Linked DNA regions of Rhinolophus ferrumequinum. The protein of the gene in region 1 purifies or fractionates together with the protein of each later gene. This does not show direct contact. Links are inferred from orthologs where the notes say so. Each region holds a gene or a part of one and is shown in the gene's direction. Other genes may lie near its edges.

What was found.
Region 2: the proteins of mediator of RNA polymerase II transcription subunit 21-like (region 1) and MED12L purify together in Homo sapiens (affinity purification with mass spectrometry; 3 studies listed by BioGRID and IntAct, counting the BioPlex papers as one, with this or other methods). This does not show direct contact. The link is inferred for Rhinolophus ferrumequinum from reciprocal best matches to the Homo sapiens genes MED21 and MED12L.
Region 3: the proteins of mediator of RNA polymerase II transcription subunit 21-like (region 1) and POLR2D purify together in Homo sapiens (affinity purification with mass spectrometry; 4 studies listed by BioGRID and IntAct, with this or other methods). This does not show direct contact. The link is inferred for Rhinolophus ferrumequinum from reciprocal best matches to the Homo sapiens genes MED21 and POLR2D.

Annotation. Positions count from the first base shown.
Region 1 is NC_046286.1:94,043,227-94,045,283, reverse strand, and holds mediator of RNA polymerase II transcription subunit 21-like, read left to right. Parts: upstream 1-935; coding exon 936-1,394; 3' UTR 1,395-1,443; downstream 1,444-2,057. Other genes in the region: MTHFD1L (monofunctional C1-tetrahydrofolate synthase, mitochondrial), read right to left, coding at 589-728. UniProt on the Homo sapiens protein: Component of the Mediator complex, a coactivator involved in the regulated transcription of nearly all RNA polymerase II-dependent genes.
Region 2 is NC_046285.1:10,003,673-10,007,427, forward strand, and holds the start of MED12L (mediator of RNA polymerase II transcription subunit 12-like protein), read left to right. Parts: upstream 1-1,246; 5' UTR 1,247-1,707; intron 1,708-2,168; 5' UTR 2,169-2,297; coding exon 2,298-2,396; intron 2,397-3,755. UniProt on the Homo sapiens protein: May be a component of the Mediator complex, a coactivator involved in the regulated transcription of nearly all RNA polymerase II-dependent genes.
Region 3 is NW_022680440.1:944,374-948,128, reverse strand, and holds the start of POLR2D (DNA-directed RNA polymerase II subunit RPB4), read left to right. Parts: upstream 1-920; 5' UTR 921-985; coding exon 986-1,058; intron 1,059-3,755. UniProt on the Homo sapiens protein: Core component of RNA polymerase II (Pol II), a DNA-dependent RNA polymerase which synthesizes mRNA precursors and many functional non-coding RNAs using the four ribonucleoside triphosphates as substrates.

The DNA of each region.
Region 1 (2,057 bases):
GTATGTGTAATTTCTGTATATAACAATACAGGTTCATATCAAATGTCTTTAAAAAACGTTACAATAGAATTTATGTTTTCCAAGCAAAGCTCTCTGAGAAATAATCCAGTCCTATAACAGTTATAAAGTGAAATCATAATAAACAGAAACAGAAGGAACATAGTTCTAGAAGAAATCTGATGAGATGTAGCATCAGTGAACCAAAAAACCGTCTGTACAAACACTGAACAACCTCACCCACGAGAGGAATCATTCTGATCCGTATGCGCTCCATTCAGCAACCAGAGCTCTATCCTCCCATGACCGTGGGGCTAGAAAATGCTGACATCAGCCTCAGATAGGAATCTTAGGACTAAATAGTGTTTACATTATGCTCCTTTCCAAAATACTGCATACAAGTAACTTTGTGGGTGTTAATATTTACTGGAACTTACCTAAACTCTAAGTGCCCTATGATGGTAACTTGTAAAAAAGGAGACATTCTAGAAAACTAGAGTTATTAAGCAGGTTTCAAAATGTTTCAAACGCTCAATTCTGCTTTATCTTAACTTTCAAATTGGTTTCACTAGGAAGGAAGAAGGGACTTACGCTTGGCCCGCCCCCGTGCATCTTCAGAGCTCGCACTGTTGCCACCAGCACGACGACGTTGGGCACTAAACCAGAAGCTCGGCACTTGATGTTGAAGAATTTCTCCATACCAATATCAGCACCAAAGCCAGCTTCAGTCACTGTGGAGAATCAAGTTGGAAACTTGCTATTATCTTCTAAAAACAATAATAAGGCGTGGCAATCATTGGTATGGTTCAAATTCAAAGGACAGTTTACATTTCCCACCAAGTCCAGGCTACTACACAGCACGGCACCTTGTTCATATACAAAGGTAAACTAACCCCCAGTTTTAGAAAATGTTCTATGTCTTGACATTCCCTAAAAAGATGACTCTCTCTCATTTGCTTGCAGGGACATGGCGGCTTACACAGCTGCAGGACGCGGTGAACTCGCCTGCAGACCAGTTTTGTAATGCAATTGGAGTGTTGCCCCAGTGTGGTCCTCCTGCCTCTTTTAGTAATATTCAGACAACAATTAACAAAGATCAGCCAGCTAATCCCACAGAAGACTATGCCCAGCTTTTTGCAGCACTGATTGCACGAACAGCAAAAGACATCGATGTTTTGATAGATTCCTTGCCCAGTGAAGAATCTACAGCTGCTTTACAGGCTGCTAGCTTGTATAAGCTAGAAGAAGAAAATCACGAAGTGGCTACATGTCTGGAGGATGTTGTTTATCGAGGGGACATGCTTCTGGAAAAGATACAAAGTGCACTTGCTGATATTGCGCAGTCACAGCTGAAGACAAGACGCGGTACCCATAGCCAGTCTCTGCCAGACTCATAGTACCAGCGTATACCGCATGGCTGAGAAAAGAGCTATTTCAATGGCATTAAGAATTATACATCAGATTTAGATGTAAGCCTTACCAACAGTTACAGAAACATTAACCACTATAACACATTATCTTTCCAGCTATTTTTAACAGTCTTCTAGTTTCACTCTTGATAAATAAGCTTGTAAGATTGTGATTGAACCAGCTTTAAACCATCATTATACTATCATTTTTTATTATCCAAATGAAATTATTGAGGCAGCTCTTACATTAATGGTCATAATTAAACAAATTACCGTAAAATTCTATTGTGGGAGAAAAAAAAAAAGATGGCCCTCTGCTTCATACCACCATGCCTTAAGGATCCTTTGCCAAGGCCTAGATTTTCCTTTCGGTAGAGTAACTCAGAGCAAAACTTTTCTGAACACAGCTGGGATTTTCAACTTTTTAATCAGGTTCCAAATTGTATCAAAGAACACTGCCAGCATAATTACGACGGAAGAGCCTTTCGCAATGTAGATCATACATAGAATTGTTTCTTTAGTGCCACTGGTCATTTCTGTTGATTGACAACATTCAAGTTAGTTGAGTGGCTTAAGGAGGTTCGTTATTATATAAGATAGCATCTTCATTCCATAACCACAGGGACACTGTAGGGGTTCATAACGAGTCTC
Region 2 (3,755 bases), on another chromosome or scaffold:
ATATCTCCTGATGGAGGGTAACTGTTCTCCAAAAGTACTTGCTCAGATTGAGTCAAGAAGCCAAAAACCACCGGCCTGACTTGGTCTCAGCCTGCATTGGGAAGTGCTAATAGGTGAGGGTCCGGAGTGAGAAACTAGCCTCTATTGCCATCGCCTTATCTATCCTTTTTTACCTCCCTTTTGCTTACAGTCAGCAGAGGTAAGTAGATATTCAGATTTGGTCCACATCTCCTGAGCACCTACTGTGTGCCAGGTGCTGTACCAAGGCTTTGGGTTAGATTCTGCTCGCACCATCTTATAGAGAGAGGATGGAACCAAGAGTCTGAGAAATTCCTCAAGGTGTGGGAGACGTGACACAATTAGGCAAGGGCAGTTCAGGAACCCAGTCCTTCCAATCCAAAGTCGTGGAGAATAGGGCAGAAACTTCGGATCCGGCAGGGGCAGCTTCCGGGCTTTGAGCAAGTCACTGGGCCTCCTTGAGCGGACTTAATGTCTGTCTACAAAAAGGGTACAGTAAAACCTTGTAAGGTTTCTTTTAAGGATCACAGACCTTTACTGTCAAGACCCTGGCACCAAGCGAGGGCTCCATAAATGGCAGCCATCATTCTTGGCCAAGTGCGGGCGCATCCTCCCGGGCGCGCCTCCCGCGGGGTCCCTCGGGACAAGCCGGGCCCGCCCCCGCAGCTCTGGTCTCCTAGTGCTCGCGGCAGGTGGCCCAGCATCTCGGTGCCCACACCCCGGAGCGAGAATGGAGCGCGGGCGGGTTGGAGGACTAAGGTTTTCCCTGGAGGATCACCTCCCTGCCTCCCTCCCTCCGTCCGTCCACACGCCCGGCGCAGGTGAGATTTCCGGCCCAGGCTACAAGAACAGCGACCTTAGGAGAGGTCGAGGCGGACGACGCTGCCCGCGACCGGGAGAGGGGCCCTGGGGGTGCCCCCTCCCTCGCCAGGATTCGCCCCAGGGCAGGTCCCGGCGCCGGGGCCCCCGGGCTGCGCGCTCTGCGGCTGCGAAAACCTGGAGAGGCGGATCGGAGCGCGCTCGCAGCCAACTCCTCCGCGGTCCGGCCGCCGAGCTGGGCATGCTCAGTGCGGTCGCCGCGCCGCGTCCGCCAACTCGGAGGCTCGCGCTCCCGGGCGGTGGGGGCGAGAACGCCGGCGGCGGCGGCGGCGAGCCGGCGTCGCCCGCCGCCCCCAGACAGTGGCAAACTTCGCGGCGTCCGCAGAGCTCTCCCGGAGGAGACTGATGCCTTATTAATAAAATCAAATCCGATCCCCCCCACCCCAACCCGAATCATGGAGGCTGCGGCCGCCAGAGTGCCGCTGCCGCGGGCCCCTGCCCACTAGCCGGGGACCAACAGGTAAACTGTTGGGGGGTGGGGTGGGAGGAGGAGCTGCGGCTGGGGGGGAGGAGCCTGAGATGCCGGCGGGCGGGCTGCCGGGGTCGGCGCTCACAGCCTACCCTCCTCACCCTCTTTCCCCAGCCCCTGGAGGGGCAGCAAAGGGTTAAGTCGGCCCCGCGCCACCGTGAGCACGGCCCCCTCCAGCCGCCGAGACCGCCAGCTGCGCGCCTCGGCGCCTGCCCGGAGCCGCCGATGCGCCACCGGAGCCCAGCGGGCGTCTAGGAGGCACCCGCGGCTTCCCCACCGTCCGCATCTCTGCCTCCCCCATCCCCTCCAGGCCTCTCCGCCGGAGTCGAGTCCGCGCCCAGGTGGCTGGGTCTGCGGGGCGCGTGGCGGCGTGGAAGGATCCCTGACGAGGAAGAGGGGCGGAGGCGGGCCGCTCCGCAGTCTCTTCCTGGGGCCGGAGGGCCACCCTAGCCTGGGGCGAGCACTTGGGCCACCCGCCTGGGCGCCAAGAAAAGTTTTTTTCTCCCCCGGTGCCCCTCCCCCACCCCCGCCCTGTGCCGGGCTGGGTGGGTTTGGGTCCATTGGTGAAAAAAGTCACACGTTTCCATCAGCTGCTCCTCCCCCTGGGGACAGAGTAGGGGGGGCGGGAGGCCGGCGCTGCGGAGGACCCGAGCGGACCTTCAGCTTCTGTCGGCCGCCGCCACAGGAGCGGTGCGTCCCGGAGCCCCAGCGCAGCAGGGTGCCCGCCGAAGGCTGCCCCCATCAGTGCGTGTCTGCGTGTCTGGCAGCGGCAGCATCCAACCTGCTTTATTCTTGCCTGCAGCGCCACAGCGAGCGAGCGAGCGAGGAGGGGGAGAGACGGAGTCTGTCTGCAAAGTGCTGCTCCCTGGTGCTCAGAGGCGGCTGCTCCAGCTCCAACTCTCATTCATTTCGCCGGTTAACATGAGAGATCATGGCCGCCTTCGGGCTTCTCAGCTATGAGCAGAGACCACTGAAACGTCCCCGGCTTGGGCCGCCGGACGTCTACCCGCAGGACCCTAAGCAGAAGGAGGTAGGTAAGGGCGCTGCCGGCCTCCCCGGCAACCGGGACCGCGCTCCGCAGAGCTGACCCCGGGCCAAGTTGGCCCAGCGGGCAACGGCGGCGCTGCGGGGGAAGGGTCAGGGAGGGGACTGGCGGCAGGGGCCGGGTTGGGGACTGGGGGACCCTGGGCGGCGGAGACCCAGCGGCTGTCAGTCCCCGCGCTCCACTGAGACGCTTGCTCTTCGGGTGCAGGGTCGCTTCTCCGTTACCGGGCCTTGCACAGCATTGCCGGGCGCTCATCTGGTTCTTCTTTGCCGAAACCCTCCTGCTCGCTCTCCCCCGCTTCTGCCTGCTTTATTTTTCTCCCTGCCGCTTTGCTAAATCCTCGTAAACTTTTTGAAAAATGTTGGAATGCAGTGCATCCGACACGGGTCTCGTGTTTTTGCTCCAGCTAAGCAGGGACTGGGTGTTAGTGCGGGGGGTGGGGGGGGCGTGAGGGGGTGGGGACCTTTTCTGTTCAAAATTTGCAGTTTGGAGCGAAGTCGTTTTTATCGAAGTGATAAATATTTAGCTCTTTGGACGTACTTTCTGTATCCCCTCTCCCCTTTAAAAATCGATATTACGGGAAAAAAGTGATTTCGTTCCTGGAGGCGATTGGCTTAATTTGCCGGAGGCAGTTTTGTATACGTAAAAGCAATCCTGTTACCTTGGAAGGGAATAGGTACCGAGATTGCTTCTTTCTTTGAGTGCAACTGTTGGAGAAACCTTGACTCTTGGACTAGGTTCACTAGCTTCAATGGCTAGAGTAACCATGGCATTTTGTAGACATGTATGTGTTTGTCCGTAGTTAACAAGTAATTATATAACAAATCTCCAGTTATAGTGATCACCCTTGGCGACACAATTTGCCAAGGGATTTGCTTTTTTTTTTTTTTTTTTTAAAGCTCACCTGCTACCCTGCTGTGCTTTTCTGAGTTTGCCAGTTGCAGCCCACCCATCCTCTCTCTGTTTTCTTCAGCTAAACACGAGGGAGAACGTTTCAGAACTTCTCTTCCTGGGAATCTAAAAACCCTCTATTAAAAGTTTACCGGCCCACTGACATCACAGAAAGGGCTTTGTAAAGAAGGCAAGGAGAGGTCCTTAAGACTTCCCTTTTGATAAATGTATCTATTTCAGTAATAGAGAAAGAACGTTCTGGTTAAACTGTTTTGTTAACGTTTCTGCAAAAGGACTGACAGCTCCTTTTAGAGGGTTAGCACATTAAACATCTTTGAGCATCCTTTGAGTAGTTCATACTGAAGCTGGGAAGGTTTTTACAGGTGGTTCTCAGCTGAGGCTGAACATGAACATAAGAGTTTTGACGAGACTTTGCAGATTTTTTTTCCCCAC
Region 3 (3,755 bases), on another chromosome or scaffold:
TGTGTTGTAAATGTTAACTATCCTGTGCCCACCAATGTATATAAAGTATGTCCACTCCGTTTTGCTTTTTATCCAATGCCAGAGATTTCTCCGTTTTGCTTTCTCCCACCCCTTATTTGCCATCAATGGATGTCATGTAAACCTTCTTAGGTCTCCTCCTTTGACTCTAATGTATAAAATAAGCTGCAAAACTGCCATTTTCTGGAGCATTTTCTCAATCTGTTGAGATTTTGTTTGCCTGCAATTGTCATCCGTTTGGCTCAAATAAACTCTTATAAGACTTTCTTAGGCTAGGCATTCTTTCGACATACCCAATACATTTCTTCTAGAAATACACATACAAAGCAAATTAATTTTGTAAAAATTATAAAGTAAAGGAATACAAGGTACATATTCTTGTGTGGTTTATTTTTCATTTGAACAGAGCTTACATGATACCTAAACACTGCTCACTACTGAGCGAAGCAATGCACTATAATTATGTCCTTTATTTTACAATCTTTTCTCTGAATTTGAAAACATCATTTTCCATTTGCTTACTTTTCTATGTATAATCCAAGTGCTTCAACAGACATTAAAGGCCTCTCAAAATCACTGTCCACGTGCTCAGAAGTATCAGAATAATCCACTACACGTCAAAATTTAAAATGCGTAAGGCATTGGAAGAAATTCCCCGGTACGTTTTCGAGGTCACCGACCCGGCATCCCTTCAACGGAGAGTTCCTGGGGTCAGCCGGCACATTCCTGTATGTCATCCAGCCCACCCCTCCCCACTGGGAAGCAGGTGTCCTTACCCACATTTCACGGGTGAGAAGCTGAGGCTCAAAACGGTCCCGGGACCCGCTCCAAGACTCGCGGCACAACCCCTCCCCTCGCAGCGTCCTGGCCCCGGCCCGCCACGCCCCCGCCACGCCCCGGACGTGGCTGCACCGGGGTCCCCACGCTTCCGCTTCCGGCGGTGTGGGTGGCGGCGCGTAGCTCGGCGATGGCGGCGGGTGGCAGCGATGCGCTGGCTGGCGACGTCGAGGAGGACGCCTCCCAGCTCATCTTTCCAAAAGGTGAGGCCTGGGGCCGTGCGATTGTCCCGCCGTTCTGCGTGGCCGCCGCGGAACTTGGCGTTGCCCCGAAGCCCGGCGGGTGGCGGCGCGGCGACCAGCAGGGAGGAGGCGCCTGCGGACCTGGAGGGCCCGGGCCGCTGGGCTCGGTGCCGGGAGAAGGGCTCCTGGAGCCTTCGGCGCCACTCGGGGGTGCCCCGGGCGGCTGCGGCTCCTTGTTTCAGTAGTTCGTTTTCTCTGATAGACTGCAAAGTGCCCGAGAGATGCGTCAAAGACAAAGCTGACACTAGTTAAAGCGGTCGGTACGAATTTTAATCAGTAATATGCAGCTGCGACAGGGAGAAGAGTCCAGCTTGGACTGAACTCAACTTCATTTGTGTAGAGGTGACAGCGTTTTACAGGGAGAATGAAAGGATAGGGAGCGGCGGTGAGCGGGGCTTAGAGTCAGGGAAGTGAAAAATTACAGAAAGTGGGAAGGGGGTTGGTCCTTTTGAAACCCATTTGGGTTTGTCAGCTGGAGCTTTGGAAGTTAGATTCCTACCATCCCACTGCCCGCCCTCTGTTGGCTGGAACAAACTAAATTATTTTGGCTGCATTCAGTTTTCACAGGCCGGCGCTTTAAAGGAGTTAAGGTCATTCTAGGGATACAGCCTTGAGCTGTTAGAAATCATATTAATGTTTTAATCAAGCCTTTATGGGCCAAAATTGAGGCCTGGTCGGGAAGAGGGCTCAGAGGAGCCTGGCTAGAAAGCGGTCACGGGGAGAATCTTTGTCAGACCGCAGCAACTAAAGCACATTTTGCTGTCAGGGAGCTTTGTCTGCATTGTGATGTCCCTTATTTGTAATTTAGAAACCCAAAGGAAGGAGAAAACTTCAGATTTTAAACTAATGCATCCTACAGATACTGATTACAAAGTAAATGAGGGAACCTTGACAATATCCTCCTGTTTTAAAAATTATATCCACAATACAATGTGAAATGCAACACCCTTTCACCCATAGGAAACTAAACGGGTTAGTGCTTATCCTTCCAAACGAATTTTTATGCTTATTCATAAATATATGCATATACATATACACTTTTTTCAAAAATGGGATTATGCTATAGAAATCTTACAGCTTTAAAAATTTTTGATGGTATATTGTATAGAAAGGTCCTGTTCTTTTAAAGCTCCAGATACTATTACTTATTAAATATAAATAATAGTATTTATCTATTGATATACATACAGGTTGCTTCCAGTTTTTTATTTCATAGACTCAAGTGCAAATATTTCCATAGGATAGCTTCATGGAAGTTTTTAGCATAATGGAAATACACATTTGTTTCTTTTTTAAGGTATAATAACTAAGAAGGAAATGGTTTTCTTAATTTCATGATAAATTAAACCAGTTTTTTTGTATGTGGGTTTTGTGTAGGTACTTTTTACTTAGTGTTTTTTTTAACCTGGAAAATACTTGTTTAGATAAAATCAGGTAACATCTGGTACTCATGAATATTTTATTGAATTGGGGATAATTAGATCCTATCAGTTAACAATGTGTCAGAGTTCTGAACATCTCTTATCTCTTAACTTCTCAGCTGATACAGCATGTAAAGTTTATGTATTTTAGAATATATGTATATATATAGGAACAACAGTAAGTCCTTAGAGAAAGCCTTTGCTGTAGGATGGAAAGTAAGCAAACGTGTAATTAGTTCAAGGACTAAAAATGGAGACCACCGAAAGCTTCTGAGTACGTTTTTTTTTTAATTTATTGGGGTGACAGTGGTTAGTAAAATTACATGGGTTTCAAGTGTCAATTCTATATTACATCATCTATATATCACATTGTGTGTTCACCACCCAGAGTCAGTTCTCCTTCCATCACCATATATTTGACCCCCTTTGCCCTCATCTATCACCTCTCTTCCCACTTAACCTCGGGTAACCACTAAACTATTGTCTGTGTCTATGAGTTTTTGTTTGTTTGTTTCTCTTGTTCCTTTGTTGCTTTCGGTTTTATATCCCACATATGAGAGACTTTTTCTGTCTGACTTATTTCACTTAGCATGATACGGTAATCTCAGGATCCATCCATGTTGTCACAAACAGCAGTATTTCATCTTTTTTATAGCAGAGTAGTATTCCATTGTGTATATACACGACATCTTCTTTATCTAATCATCTATCGAAGGAACAGGTGACTAGACTCCTGGTGTCCTGAGTTCCATCCCATTATATTTCACAGGTACATTTCTTTAGTGCAGAAGGGGAGACATCTCTAACTTTGATTTTCCAGAAGCCTTAAAAACATCGACAGCTATAATAAACTTGGAGGTAATTATTAGTAGTAACTTGTTTAGCCTCTTAATTTCCATTTTCTAAGGCTGTATTAATGCTGCAGCCTCAGAAGCTGAGACTGACCCACTATTTAGCTGCTGCTGCATTTATCCCCCTTATGTCACTTAACTCTTTTCACTTCAGAGACTTGGGGTCATATGTCCTGATACTTCATTGCTCTAGGGCCGTAGTTTCTTCACCTGTATACCACCTCAGAGGGTTGGGTTGGAATCAACTCTGAGCTTCCTCTCGTTCAAACCATGCTGCCCTGAAGTAGAAAATAGCTTTTGTGTGCCTGTTATATTCAGTAGCAATGAGAACCTTTCAAATAAAAATAGTTTTCTCCTTACATGCTCCTCAACCCCTGCCCCTCCAC